2 linked regions of the Anolis sagrei genome follow. The protein of the gene in region 2 interacts with the protein of the main gene of each other region in a pairwise test. Links are inferred from orthologs where the notes say so. Each region holds a gene or a part of one and is shown on either strand. Other genes may lie near its edges.

What was found.
Region 1: the proteins of NEFL (region 2) and SKIL interact in binary tests that used the Homo sapiens proteins (3 or more experiments, as listed by UniProt). The link is inferred for Anolis sagrei from reciprocal best matches to the Homo sapiens genes NEFL and SKIL.

What each region holds. Positions count from the first base shown.
Region 1 is NC_090023.1:251,988,619-251,996,675, reverse strand, and holds the start of SKIL (ski-like protein), read right to left. Parts: upstream 3,082-8,057; 5' UTR 2,863-3,081; intron 1-2,862. UniProt on the Homo sapiens protein: May have regulatory role in cell division or differentiation in response to extracellular signals.
Region 2 is NC_090027.1:5,852,653-5,859,762, forward strand, and holds the start of NEFL (neurofilament light polypeptide), read right to left. Parts: upstream 3,053-7,110; 5' UTR 2,978-3,052; coding exon 1,886-2,977; intron 1-1,885. UniProt on the Homo sapiens protein: Neurofilaments usually contain three intermediate filament proteins: NEFL, NEFM, and NEFH which are involved in the maintenance of neuronal caliber.

The DNA of each region.
Region 1 (8,057 bases), on a different chromosome or scaffold from region 2:
AGACGCTGGAAGCTCCTCTGCCTCTCTTTCAAATGGCTGAGTGTTTGGCTTTTTTTGGGAAGTGAAACCCTAGAAGCCAGAGCCCGGCGGCGGCCTCCTTCCTCCCCCCTCCCTCCCCCGGAATTTCCCTTCTTTGCCCTGAACTCAACTCCTTCCCTTCCCTTCCCTTCCTCCCCGCCGCCGCCGTCTCAGACGGGCCTGCTGTGCTACAGACGCTCCTCCCTCCCCAAAGGGAGGTGAGGAAGGTTAAGTCTAGCAGAGGCAGCAGCAGCAGACACAAGGGAGGCCAAGGGAGGGAGGAAGGGAGGAAGGAAGGAGGAGAGCAGAACAAGGAGGAGGAAATAAAGGGGTGGTGGGTGGGTTGAAAAGCGCCCTCCGACCCAAACCCTGGATGGAAGAAGAAGAGGGAAGGGAGGGGGGTTTTTAAAGGCGCAGTCCCACCCAAGAGACCCTCTCCCATGAGAGAGGAAGGCCTTTAAAGCTTTAAAGGGGAGCCTTTCTCTCCTTTCTGACCTAAGAAACAACCCTCTTTGCCTTCCTATTCAATCCAAGCAATCTTCTTGGATGGAGGGGGGGGGGGGGTCTTTAAAGACGCTTCCTCCAACGCAACGACCCCCCCCCCCAGGATTTTAAAGGGGAGGGGGGCTTTAAAGGCGCAATCCCCTCTTTCCTGCCTTCCCCCCTCCTCTCGCCTTCCAATCTCAATCGAGATAAAAGCGGGATAGAGACACATAAATATAATAAAGGTCATAATAATAAGGAAAGATAATAATAAGAGGTAAGAAGAAGAAATTATAATAAGGTAATAGGAAGAAATAATAAAAGATAATAATAATAATGATAAGTAAGAAGAAATTATAATCATAAGAGAATAATAGTAAGAAATAATAAGAGATAATAATAATAAGAGATAATAGAAAGCGGGATAGAGACATATAAATATAATAATGGTCATAAGAATAAGAGATAATAAGATATAATAAGAAATTATAATAAGACAATAGTAAGAAATAATAATACTAATCAGATATAATAGAAAGCGGGATAGAGAGATATAAATATAAATAAATAATAGTGGTCATAAGAATAAGAGATAATAAGATATAATAATAAGATAAGAATAAGACACAATAAGAGAATAAAAGAGATAATAATAAATTATAATAAAAGAATAGTAAGAAATAATAATATAGAAAGTGGGATAGAGACATAAATATAATGATGGTCATAATAATATTAATAGATAATAAGAATAAGAGATTATAAGATATAATAATAAGAAATAACAAGAATAAAACTATGTAAGAATAAGACATAAGAAGAGAATAGTAATAAAAGGTAAGACTAAATAATAAGAGAAAATAAAAGAAATTATAATAAGAGAAATTATAATAAAAGATAATAGAAAGCGGGATAGAGATATATAAATATAATAATGGTAATAATAATAAGAAGAGATAAGAAGAGATAAGAAGAAATCAGAATAAAAAGAATAAAAGAAATAATAAGAGATAATAAATAAATGTAGTAATAAGATATAATAAAAAAGAGATATAATAATAATAGAATAAAAGTAAGAAATAATAAGAGATAATAATAAATAATAATAAGAGATAATAGATAAGAGATATTAATAGTAATAAGAGACAATAATAAGACACAATAAGAGATAATAATAAATATAGCAATAATAAGATATAATAAAAAAGATATAATAATAATAATAATAATAGTAATAATAATAGAATAAAAGTAATAAATAAGAGATAATAAGAAATAATAATAAGAGATAATAGAAAGCATGATAGAGATATATAAATATAATAATGGCAATAAGAATAAGAGATAAGAGATATTAATAGTAATAGAAGAGACAATAATAAGACATAATGAGATAGTAATAAATATAGTAATAATAAGATATAATAATAAAGAGATATAACAATAATAAGAGATAATAATAATAAGAGATAATAACAGTAATAATAAGATGTATTAATATGAGATAATAAATAAATATAGTAGTAATAAGATATAATAATAAAGAGATATAACAATAATAATAAGAGATAATAATAATAAGAGATAACAACAGTAATAATAAGACATAATAATAATATGAGATCATAAATAAATATAGTAGTAATAAGATATAATAATTATAAAGAGATATAACAATGATAAGAGATAATAATAAGAGATAATAACAGTAATAATAAGAGATAATAATAAGACATAATATGAGATAATAAATATAGTAATAAGATATAATAATAATAAAGAGATAATAATGACAGTAATAATAAGAGATAATAATAACACATAATAAGAGATAATAAATATAGTAATAAGATATTATAATAATAATAATAAAGAGATATAACAATAATAAGAGATAATAATAATAAGAGATATTAATAGTAATAATAAGAGACAATAATAAGACACAATAAGAGATAGTAATAAATATAGTAATGATAAGATATAATAATAATAAAGAGATATAACACTATATTGGCCTCCCTTGCTTGTGGGAAAGGGGCTCAAGCCCAGCCTCCTCTTCCCCTCATGAATAGTCATAAGCTGTACCCCTCATGAATATTCATAAGCTGTACCCCCTCCTCATGCATATTCATAAGCTGTACCCCCTCATACACACACGAACAAGGCCTTCCTCACCGAAAAAGACACACACACGAAGGAGCAATCCCTCCTCCTCCTCCTCCTCCCCTTCACGCCGCCAGCCAAGCCCAGCAGACAGGAGACCTTTCTCCTCCTTTCCGAGTCAGGGATACACACAGAATATCATCCACACAGGCAGGGGTTGAAACCCGGCTGGCTTCCCTTTCCCCGCAGATTTACCTCAGAGTGACCTGTCCCCCCTCCTGTCCTGGGCGAGAGAGCTCGAACGGAGGGACCGACGTCTCTCTCTCTCTCTCTCTCTCTCCGTCTCCGTCTGTCTGACGACGCGCCGCCTCCCCGTGACCTCACTGCGGAGACAGAGACAGAGGAGGAGGAGGAGGAGGAGGAGGACGTGATGGAGACGGAGACGAGGCGGCGCGCGGGCACGAACCCGGCCACGGCAACGCGCACGCGCGCCCCGCCGCCAAGCCCCGCCCACCGTCTGGACTCCGGCTCCCAGGGAGAGAGAGAGAGAGAGTGACGTCATGCGTCTCCTTCCTTCACAGAGACAGAGTCTAGAAGCCAAGGGCTAGGCCTAGGCCAGGCAGGGGCAAACTTGGGCCTTCCTTCCAGGTGTTTTGGAGTCCAACTCCCACCATTCCTAACAGCCTCAGGCCCCTTCCTTTTCCCCCTCAGCCGCTTAAGCGGCTGAGGGGGAAAAGGAAAGGGCCTGAGGCTGTTAGGAATGGTGGGAGTTGAAGTCCAAAACACCTGGAAGGAGGAGGGCCCAAGTTTGCCCATGCCTGGCCTAGGCTAAGCCTGGGCAAACTTCGGGGGGGGGGGGTTGGACCTCACCTCCCACAATTCCTAACAGCCTGCCTGGGCCCAAGTTTGCCCCATAGTGGTTTTAACAGAAAACGCAATGCAGTCACTCTTGCCTGGCTGGAGCGTGGAGGGAAGCTTGGGATCAAGGAAGGAAGGAAGGAAGGAAAAATAGATGGATAGATAGGAAGATAGATAGGAGGATAGATACATATACAGGAAGATAGATAGACAGAAAGATAGGAAAGTAGATAGGAAGATAGTAAGGTAGTTAGGAAGATAGGAAGATCGATAGAGAGAGAGATAGGAAGGAAGGTAGATAGGAAGATAGAAAGGAAGATTGACGGATCGATAGATAGGAAGGTAGATAGGAAGATACACAGATAGATAGGAAGATCGATAGATAGAGAGAGATATAGATAGATAGATAGATAGGAAGGTAGATATGAAGATAGATAGGAAGGTATATAGGTAGGTAGATAGGAAAATACAGATAGGAAGATTGATAGATAGACAGACAGATAGATAGGAAGGTAGATAGGAAGATAGAAAGGAAGATCGACAGACAGATAAATAGATAAGAAGGTAGATAGGAAGATACACAGATAGATAGGAAGATCGATTGACAGATAGATAGATAGGAAGGTAGATAGAAAGGAAGATCGACAGACCGATAAATAGATAGATAGGAAGATCGATAGATAGACAGACAGATAGATAAGAAGGTAGATATTAAGATCAATAGAAAGGAAGGTAGATAGGAAGATAGGAAGACAGATAGATAGGAAAACAAATAGGAATATAGATAGGAAGACAGATACATAGGAAGATAGATACATAGGAAGGTAGACAGATAGGAAGATAGTTACATAAATAGGAAGGCAGATAGGAAGATAGATACATAGATAGATAGATACATAGGATAGATAGATAGATAGATAGATAGATAGATAGATGCATGCATGCATGCATGCATGCATAGGAAGATAGATACATAGATAAATAGGAAGATAGACAGATAGATAGGAAGATAGATACATAAATAGGAAGATATGTTGTGGGCAGAAGCACATCACCTTGGCATGGACTTCAGAGACCACTAGGTGAAATTCAGGGCATGTAAGGAGTACTACCATTCAAAGAATAGAATTTACCATCTCCGTTAAGGAGTCATAACACATCCATAATATGCACAGTCTCTATGAATCACCAGTCTTGGGACTATTGGCTCAGAGCTGGAGGGGAGCATGGGGGGAGGCGTAAAGTGGCTTGTGAGAAAGATGTGGATTCTGATATTATCATAAGGACAGGTGTTTCTGAGCATGAAAAGAAGGTATGTATCAAGGAGGGGCAGAAGGAAGGAAGGAAAGTTGATTTGTATGTTGTGGTCAGAAGCACATCCCCTTGGCATGGACTTCAGAGATAACTAGATGGTGAAATTCAGAGCATGTAAGTAATGCCATACAAAAGCTGGAGTTCGCTATCTCAGTTATGGAGTCCTAGAATTACCTAGAATTATATGTCTGTAATATCCACAGTCTCTATGAATCTGTGTTTGTGGGATCATTGCCACAATAATTCAAGCCCTTGGTTGTACAACTGCTGTGAAGGATAGAGATCTGGGGTGTAGCATACTGATATTTCTACTCCTTTCCCTCCAGCAATCTCCAGGGACGTTTTACCACCAGTGTTATAGAATGGAGGCAGTTATTGGAGTTGTTACTACAGACTTCTGGGAAATGTAGTTCAGGGCAGAGCCTTTCGAATTCTCAGCCAGAGCGGTCTTCAGCTTCCCTAAATTACATTTCCCAGAGTTCAGCCTCCGTTCTGTAACGCAGGTGGGAAAATGTCCTAGGATGAAGAGAAATTGGGATTCTGCTTCTGATTGTCACACCAGAGACTATTGGGATGGACTACAGCAGTTAGGAATTGTGGGAGTTCAAATCCAAAACACTTGGTGGGCCGAAGTTTGCCACATACTGAGTTGAGCACTTAACCCACTTGTACTTACTTACCTCTCACCTCGCTTTAACTACCTGTGATACATGCTCCTTAAAGGTAGAACAGTTCCTTATTCAGTTATACCTCTCACCCTTTCCTTTTTTTACAACCTAACTGCCTACATGTACTTGCAGGTGAATATAGCACTGAATGAAACATGTAGAATAATCACAGGGTGTCTTAGACCTACATCTGCTGATAGACTGTATAAGCTTGCTAGCATTACCCACCCCCCGATGTGCAAGGAGAAGTTGCTGCCAATCACTAAAGGAATAAGGCTAAACAATGTTAAAGCCACTCACTGTGTGGCTATCAGTCTCCTCCCAATAGACTCAAGTCAAGGAAAATGGTGGACCAGGCATGTAGCCAGGGGGCTTCAGCCCCCCCCCCCCCAAATTCTCAGAGTGGTCCGCAAGAAGGCCTTATTGGTACATTATTTAAACTGTTGTGTTTATTCATATCATGATCTGATCACCATGCTCAATATATCCCATATGCATGGGGGTATTGGGATAATGATACAAAAAGTTTGTTAGGGTAGATCCTCAGCACCCCCTGAATTAAACTCAGCACCCCCTGAATCAAAATCCTGGCTACGGGCCTGATGAGGACCACCACTTCTCTTAATGTTCCCCCAGCAATAGCAAGAGTATCCCTCTGGGCAGCTAAACCAGGAAATCCCAAGTGGATGGCCTCCCACGATGGTCTGCCTCCAGGGGCAAACCAAGAATGGGAAACTTGGAAGTCCCTGAACAGATTCGGAAGCGGAGTGGGCAGATCAAAAGACAACCTGGCAAAATGATACTAATTAAAAGAATCCTCCACCCTGTGCAACTGTGGAGCAGAACAAACAACTCAGCATCTGTATGCTTGCCCACAATGCCCTGCCTCATGCACAGAGGAAGAAAAGTTTCTAGCTATATACAATACGGTCACAGTTGCCTGTCTTTGGTCTAAAATTATTTAGCTGCTTATGCTCCCTTTATCAGTTTTATACTGGTTTATTAATGCAATGCTTTTGACATGAAATAAATAAATACAAAGCTCACTCTTTTACTGATAGAGTAATACAACCAGTAGCTTTGCATTTGTTTATTACATGAAGGTAGCTGAAGGTATACACTTTCATGGTTTGCAGTAAATACCCGTAATTAAATATAAGGGTTGAGATTAGATTAGGGTGGCACGAGTTCAGTTCCCAAAACAGGTCTTGCTGTGTGCCAGTTTGCAATCTCTGCTTCTGTAGTTCTGGATTTCCAATGCGGAAAGGTAAACCACAGCCAGTCCTGCTCTGGACCAAAGAGAAAGTGGTTACTTACATTCTTTCCTCACCATTTTCCAACTAATGTGCCATTGAACATGGCAGCTGTGTTTTGCTCTGCAGCCAAGAAATGGGGCCAAACCTGAGAGTAGAGTTGTTCCTCAACATTTGCAGGTTTGATTATGCATGGATTTGATCACACAGCATCATGATACAAGATGTATATGTGTGTGTACATGTTGTACCAGCAGTAGCTTACAACCCCGCAGACACAGAGACGTAGAACATTTGCTCCAGTTGCACCACTGATAATGACATCTAAGGATGGCATAAGGAAGAGGGAGCAAGCTTGTTTTTTGTCCTGGAAACTAGGACTCGGAGCAATGGGTTCAAATGTCAGGAAATGAGATTCCACCTGATCATTAGGCAGAACATCCTGACCATGAGAGCTGTTTTTAAAATAGCTGCACTGGTGGCTTCTGCAATTGGGTGCTGCTCCCCTTGTCTTGTATGTGTTCCTGTCTTTTTGTGTGTGTTCCTGCTTCTTTTGAGCACTCTTGTGAAGCAAGGAGTTTCTACAGTCAGCGAGTTCTGATACAAATTGGACTGGAATGTGAAAAAGCTATTACAGACAATTTTATATATTTGTATAACATACCATTGGAGGCTGCTAGGATTCCATGGGAGCCTTGGATTACTATTCCTGCTGGAGGTAGGAGGCGGAGGCAAATGGAGAGACAGAAGAAGAAAGAGGGGTTGTCCAGCCGAACCGGCACTCTTACAAGATTGAGAAATTCACCATACAAGCCTGCCATTCCAAGTTTCTGTCTTACTAATGCAAAATCTCTTGTTGACAAAATGGATGAATTAAGGCTATGGAGTGCAAAGAGTAAGTTTCTCAAGGACTGCTGTGTTTTGCTAATTACAGAAACCTGGCTCAACCAACACATTCCAGATGCAGTTGTTGAACTGGAAGGATACATAGTCTAACAGCAGGATAGAAGTAAAGACTAAGGGAGGGGAGAGTTCGTCGTTATGTGAACCAAAGCTGGTGTTGTAATTCAAGGACTAAAGATTCTCATTGCTCTCGAGATCTGAAGTACTTGACTGTCAAATGCAGACCCTTATATCTCCCATGAGAGTTTAATATGGTCATGATAACTTCCGTATATATTCCACCTGATGCTAATAGTAACACAGCACTGGGATTTTTGTATAATGTTGATGAAAAACAGCAGAACAAGTATCCTGATGCTGTGCACATTATAGCAGGGGATTTTAACCATGCTGATTTGAAAGCAGTGCTCCCTAAGTTTTATCAGCATGTTAAGTGTGGCACCAGGGGAGCTAA
Region 2 (7,110 bases):
CCCTCTCCCCTGGTATCCGCGGGCCCCCTTGGTGCCCACCTGGAGGGTGGTGATGTGCTTCTCCTCTAACTCCTGAACTAGATACCCTCCCCCGTATCCGCAGCAACCTTCCTTCCCCTCTCCCCTGGTATCCGCGGGCCCCCTTGGTGCCCACCTGGAGGGTGGTGATGTGCTTCTCCTCTAACTCCTGAACTAGATACCCTCTCACGTATCCGCAGCAACCTTCCTTCCCCTCCCCCTCGGTATCCACGGGCCCCCTTGGTGCCCACCTGGAGGGTGGTGATGTGCTTCTCCTCTAACTCCTGAACTAGATACCCTCCCACGTATCCGCAGCAACCTTCCTTCCCCTCCCCCTCGGTATCCGCGGGCCCCCTTGGTGCCCAACTGGAGGGTGGTGATGTGCTTCTCCTCTAACTCCTGAACTAGATACCCTCCCCCGTATCCGCAGCAACCTTCCTTCCCCTCTCCCCTGGTATCCGCGGGCCCCCTTGGTGCCCACCTGGAGGGTGGTGATGTGCTTCTCCTCTAACTCCTGAACTAGATACCCTCCCCCGTATCCGCAGCAACCTTCCTTCCCCTCTCCCCTGGTATCCGCGGGCCCCCTTGGTGCCCACCTGGAGGGTGGTGATGTGCTTCTCCTCTAACTCCTGAACTAGATACCCTCTCACGTATCCGCAGCAACCTTCCTTCCCCTCCCCCTCGGTATCCACGGGCCCCCTTGGTGCCCACCTGGAGGGTGGTGATGTGCTTCTCCTCTAACTCCTGAACTAGATACCCTCCCACGTATCCGCAGCAACCTTCCTTCCCCTCCCCCTCGGTATCCGCGGGCCCCCTTGGTGCCCAACTGGAGGGTGGTGATGTGCTTCTCCTCTAACTCCTGAACTAGATACCCTCCCCCGTATCCGCAGCAACCTTCCTTCCCCTCTCCCCTGGTATCCGCGGGCCCCCTTGGTGCCCACCTGGAGGGCAGCGAAGCCAGCATTATGCTTCTCCTCAAGCTCCTGAACTAGATACCCTCCCCCGTATCCGCAGCAATCTTCCTTCCCCTCTCCCCCGTATCCGCGGGTCCCCCTTGGTGCCCACTTCGAGATCGGCATTGTGCTTCTCCTTGAGCTCCTGATCTAGATACCCTCCCCCTTACCTGTGGCAACCTTCCCCCTCCCCCAGTATCCGTGGGTCCCCCTTTGTTCCCACCTGGAGGGCGGTGATGTGCTTCTCCTCTAAGTCCTGATCTAGATACCCTCCCCCATATCCGCAGCAACCTTCCTTCTCCTCTCCCCCGGTATTCGCGGGCCCACCGGTTGGTGCCCACCTGGAGGTCGGCGAGGTCGGCATTGTGCTTCTCTTCGAGCTCCTGATTTAGATACCCTCCCCCATATCCGCAGCAACCTTCCCCCTCCCCTGGTATCTGCGGGTCCCCCTTGGCGCCCACCTGGAGGGCGGTGATGTGCTTCTCCTCTAACTCCTGATCTAGTTACCCTCCCCCTGTATGTGGGTCCCCCTTGGTGCCCACCTGGAGGTCGGCATTGTGCTTCTCCTCGAGGTCCTGATCTAGATACCCTCTCCCATATCCCTGTATCTAGATACCCTTCCCCGGTATCCGCGGGTCCCCCTTTGTGCCTACCTGGAGGGCGGCGATGTGTTTCTCCTCTAACTCCTGATCTAGATACCCTCCCCTGTATCCCTGTATCTAGATACCCTCCCCCATATCTAGATACCCTCCCCCATATCCGCGGCAATCTCTCCCCCGGTATCTGCGGGTCCCCCTTTGTTCTCACCTGGAGGGAGGTGATGTGCGAGCTCCTGATCTAGATACCTTCCCCCGTATCCGCGGCAACCTCCCCCCTCCCCCGGTATCCGCCCCCCCCCCCCCGTTGGTGCCCACCTGGAGGGCGGCGAGGTCTGCGTTGTGCTTCTCCTCGAGCTCCTGGAGCTGCTTCTCGAGGGCCTCGTTGGCTCCGCGCGTGGCCTCGATCTCGAGGGTCTTGGCCTTGAGGAGGCGGCGGCTCTCGGCCACCTCGTCCTTGGCGGCGCGGGCGGCGTCGGTGTTCTTGGCGGCGCTCTCGGAGAGGACGGAGAAGCGGCTGCGGAACCACTCCTCGGCGTTCTGCATGTTGCGGGCGGCGAGGCGCTCGTACTGGGCGCGGATGTCGCGGAGGGCGGCGGAGAGGTCGGGCTTGGCGCTGGCGCCCAGGTCGGCCTCGGCGGAGAGCTGGGCGCCTTGCTGGGCCACCTGGGCTTGCAGCTCGGCCAGCTCCTCCTCGTGCACCTTCTTGAGGAAGGCCAGCTCGTCGAGGAGCGAGTCGACGCGCTTCTCCAGCTCGGCGCGGCCCAGCGCGGCTTCGTCGGCGGCCTTGCGGGCTTCCAAGAGGCGGGCTTCGGCTTCCTCTCGGGCGGCGGCCTCCTCCTCGACGCGCCCGGCCAGCGCCCGCAGCGTCTCCTCCAAGCCTTCGCGCTCCCCTTGCAGCGCGGCTCGCTCGTGGCCGGCCTCCTCGGCGGCGAGGCGCAGCTCGCGGATCTCCTGCTCGTAGAGGGCGCGGAAGCGGGAGGGCTCGGCGTGCCTCTGCCGCAAGCCCAGCAGCTCCGCCTCCAGCGCCTTGTTCTGCTGCTCCAGCTCGTGGACGCGCTCGATGAAGCAGGCGAAGCGGTCGTTCAGGTCCTGCAGCTGCGCCTTCTCCTGGCTCCGGATGGCCTTCAGGTCGTTGCTCAGCGCCGCCACCTGCGTCAGGTCCAGGCTCTCCGCCGCCAGCGCCGCCGAGAACGACGACGAGGCCGACGACGACGCCGCGTAGCTCCGCCGCACCGACACCGACGACAGCGGCGCGGACAGGCTCGAGTAGGTCGAGCGGGAGGACGCCCCGTAGCCCAGCCCTGCGCCCAAGCCCCGCACCCGCGACGACGACGAGGAGGACACCCCGCCGTCGGCGAAGCGGCGCTTGTAGGCCGGGAAGTACGTCTCGTAGCCGAACGAGCTCATCGTCTTGCCCGAGTTTGCCTCAGAGAGGAGAAGGAGAAGGAGCAGCAGAGGAAGAGACAACCTTCTGCGGAAGAGCGCCGCACTCCGCTCCTATTTATACCCAACAAAGTGGGCGGGGACTCCTCTCGCCACGCCCCTCTCTGCCCGCGTTAAGCCACACCCCCTTTACTGCTGTGGAAGAGAACCACAGACCTAGAGTCGGATTCATAGAATGCTAGAGTTGGTTGAGGCAAAGGTGAATGTTGCAATTAGTATTGAATGGTCTTGCAGCTTCGAAGCCTGGCTGCTTCTAACAGCTACCATCCACTCCAACACCATTCTGCCAAGAAGCAGGAAACTCCCGTTCAAAGCACCCCCAACAGCACCCCCATCCATCCTCTGTTGAAAAGCCTTCAAAGAAAGAGGCTCCACGACACACCGGGGCAGAGAGTTCCACTGCTGAACGGCTCTCACATAGAATCCTAGAGTTGGAAGAGACCTCATGGGCCATCCAGTCCAACCCTATTCTGCCAAGAAGCAGGAAAATCCCATTCAAAGCACCCCCAACAGATGGTCATCCATCCTAGAGTTGGAAGAGACCTCGTGGGCCATCCAGTCCAACCCCATTCTGCCAATTAGAACAAAAAATCCAATTCAAAGCACCCTCAACAGATGGCCATCCAAACTCTGTTGAAAAGCCTTCAAAGAAGGAGCCTCCACCACACTCCAGGGCAGAGAGTTCCACTGCTGAACAGCTCTCACATAGAACCCATTCTGCCCGACAGATGGCCACCCAGCCTCTGTTTCAAAGCCTCCACCGCACTCAGGGGCAGAGAGTTCCACTGCTGAACAGCTCTCACATAGAACCCATTCTGCCCAACAGATGGCCACCCAGCCTCTGTTTCAAAGCCTCCACCACACTCAGGGGCAGAGAGTTCCACTGCTGAACAGCTCTCACATAGAACATTCTGCCATGAAGCAGGAAAATCCCATTCAAAGCACCCTCAATAGATGGTCATCCATCCTAGAGTTGGAAGAGACCTCATGGGCCATCCAGTCCAACCCCATTCTGCCAATTAGAACAAAAATCCCATTCAAAGCACCCCCAACATATGGTCATCCATCCTCTGTTGAAAAGCCTTCAAACAAGGAGCCTCCACCACACGCCGGGGAGGAGAGTTCCACTGCTGAACAGCTCTCACATAGAATCCTAGAGTTGGAAGAGAATTCATGGGCCATCCAGTCCAAACCCATTCTGCCAATTAAAACAAAAATCCCATTCAAAGCACCCCCAACAGATGCCCATCCAGCCTCTGTTGAAAAGCCTCCACCACACTCCGGGGCAGAGAGTTCCACTGCTGAATAGCTCTCACATAGAATCCTAGAGTTGGAAGAGACTTCGTGGGCCATCCAGTCCAACCCCATTCTGCCAATTAGAACAAAAATCCTATTCAAAGCACCCTGACAGATGGCCATCCAGCCTCTGTTTAAAAGCCTCCATCACACTTCGGAGCAGAGAGTTCCACTGCTGAACAGCTTTCACAGTTAGCAAGTTCTAAAAATTATAAAATTCTAAAGATGGTTGAGGCAAGTGTGAATGTTGCAATTGGCCACCTTGATTGGTATTGAATGTTCTTGCAGCTTCAAAGCCTGCTGAATCTACCATCCTTTCCAACCCCATTCTGCCAAAAAGCAGGAAAATTCCACTCAAAACACCCCGACAGATGGCCATCCAACCTCTGTTTAAAAGCCTCCAAAGCTGCTATGAAAGAGAACCACAGACCTAGAGTCATAGATTCATAGAATTCTAGAGCTGGAAGAGGCAAGTATGAATGTTGCAATTGGCCACCTTGATTAGTATTGAATGGCCTCGCAGCTTCAAAGCTTGGCTGCTTCTAACAACTACCATCCAGTCCAACCCCATTCTGCCAAGAATCAGGAAAATCTCATTCAAAGCACCCCCAAAAGATGGCCATCCAACCTCTGTTTAAAAGCCTCCAAAGAAGGAGCCCCCACCACACTCCGGGGCAGAGTGTTCCACTGCTGAACAGCTCTCACGTAGAATCCTAGAGTTGGATAAGACCTCATGGACCATCCGGTCCAGCCCCATTCTGCCAAAAAAACCCAAAAATCCCATTCAAACCACCTTCAACAGATGGCCATCCAAACTCTGTTGAAAAGCCTTCAAAGAAGGAGCCTTCACTACACTCCTGGGCAGAGAATTCCACTGCTGAACAGCTCTCACATAGAATCCTAGAATTGGAAGAGACCTCATGGGGCATCCAGTCCAACCCTATTCTGTCAATAAGCAGAAAATCCCATTCAAAGCATCCCGACAGATGGCCATCCAGCCTCTGTTGAAAAGCAAAGAAGGAGCCTCCACCACACTCCAGGGCAGAGAGTTCCACTGCTGAACAGCTCTCACATAGAATCCTAGATTTGGAAGAGACCTCATGGGCCATCCAGTCCAACCCTATTCTGCCAAGAGATATTGACAAGCTGGAATGTGTTCAGAAGGGGGCGACTCAACTGATCAAGGGTCTGGAGAACAAGCCCTTTGAGGAGCGGCTTACAGAGCTGGGCATGTTTTGCCTGAAGAAGAGAAGGATGAGAGGAGATTTGATAGCCATGTATAAATAAGTGAGAGGAAGCCACAGGGAAGAGATAGCAAGCTTGTTTTCTGCTGCCCTGGAGACTAGGATGCAATGGAACAATGGCTTCAAACTACAAGAAAGGAGATTCCACCTGAACATTAGGAAGAACTTCCTGACTGTGAGAGCCGTTCAGCAGTGGAACTCTCTGCCCTGGAGTGTGGTGGTGGCTCCTTCTTTGGAAGCTTTTAAACAGAGGCTGGATGGCCATCTGTCAGGGGTGCTTTGAATGCAATTTTCCTGCTTCTTGGCAGAATGAGGTTGGACTGGATGGCCCAGGAGGTCTCGTCCAACTCTAGGATTCTTATGATTCTATAAGAAACAGGAAAATCCCATTTAAAGCACCCCCAACAGATGGCAATCCAGCCTCTGTTTAGAAGCCTCCAAAGAAGGAGCCTCCACCACACTCTGGGGCAGAGAGTTCCATTGCTGAACAGCTCTCACATTGCTGACCATCTCTCTGGATCCTAGAGTTGGAGGAGACCTCATGGGCCATCCAGTCCAACCCCATTCTTCCAAGAAGCAGGAAAATCCCATTCAAAGCACTCCTGACAGATAGCCATCTAGCCTCTGTTTCAAATCCTCCAAAGAAGGAGCCTCCACCATAATCCGGGGCAGAGAGTTCCACTGCTGAACAGCTCTCACATTATTATTATTATTGTTATTATTATTATTATTATTATTATTATTATTATTATTATTATTGTGTGAGATCAGATAATCCAGCATATATAATCCAGCATATAGATCTCATTTGCTGTGACCGTACTGTGGTTTTGTGTCAGTAAAATAATAATAACAATAAACTTTATTTATAGCCCGCCACCATCTACCAAAGGAGACTTGGGGGGCTTACATGAGGCTTGGCCCAGCAATAGAATCAGAGAATCATAGAATCAAAGAGTTGGAAGAGACCTCCTGGGCCATCCAGTCCAACCCCATTCTGCCAAGAAGCCGGAATATTGCATTTAAATCACCCCTGACAGATGGCCATCCAGCCTCTGTTTAAAAGCTTCCAAAGAAGGAGCCTCCACCACACTCCGGGGCAGAGAGTTCCACTGCTGAACGGCTCTCACAGTCAGGAAGTTCTTCCTCATGTTCAGATGGAATCTCCTCTCTTGTAGTTTGAAGCCATTGTTCCACGTCCTAGTCTCCAGGGAAGCAGAAAACAAGCTTGCTCCCTCCTCCCTGTGGCTTCCTCTCACATATTTATACATGGCTATCATATCCCCTCTCAGCCTTCTCTTCTTCAGGCTAAACATGCCCAGCTCTTTAAGCCGCTCTTCATAGGGCTTGTTCTCCAGACCCTTGATCATTTTAGTCGCCCTCCTCTGGACACATTCCAGCTTGTCAATATCTCTCTTGAATTGTGGTGCCCAGAATTGGACACAATATTCCAGGTGTGGTCTAACCAGAGCGGAATAGAGGGGTAGCATGACTTCCCTAGATCTAGACACTCTGCTCCTATTGATGCAGGCCAAAATCCCATTGGCTTTTTTTGCC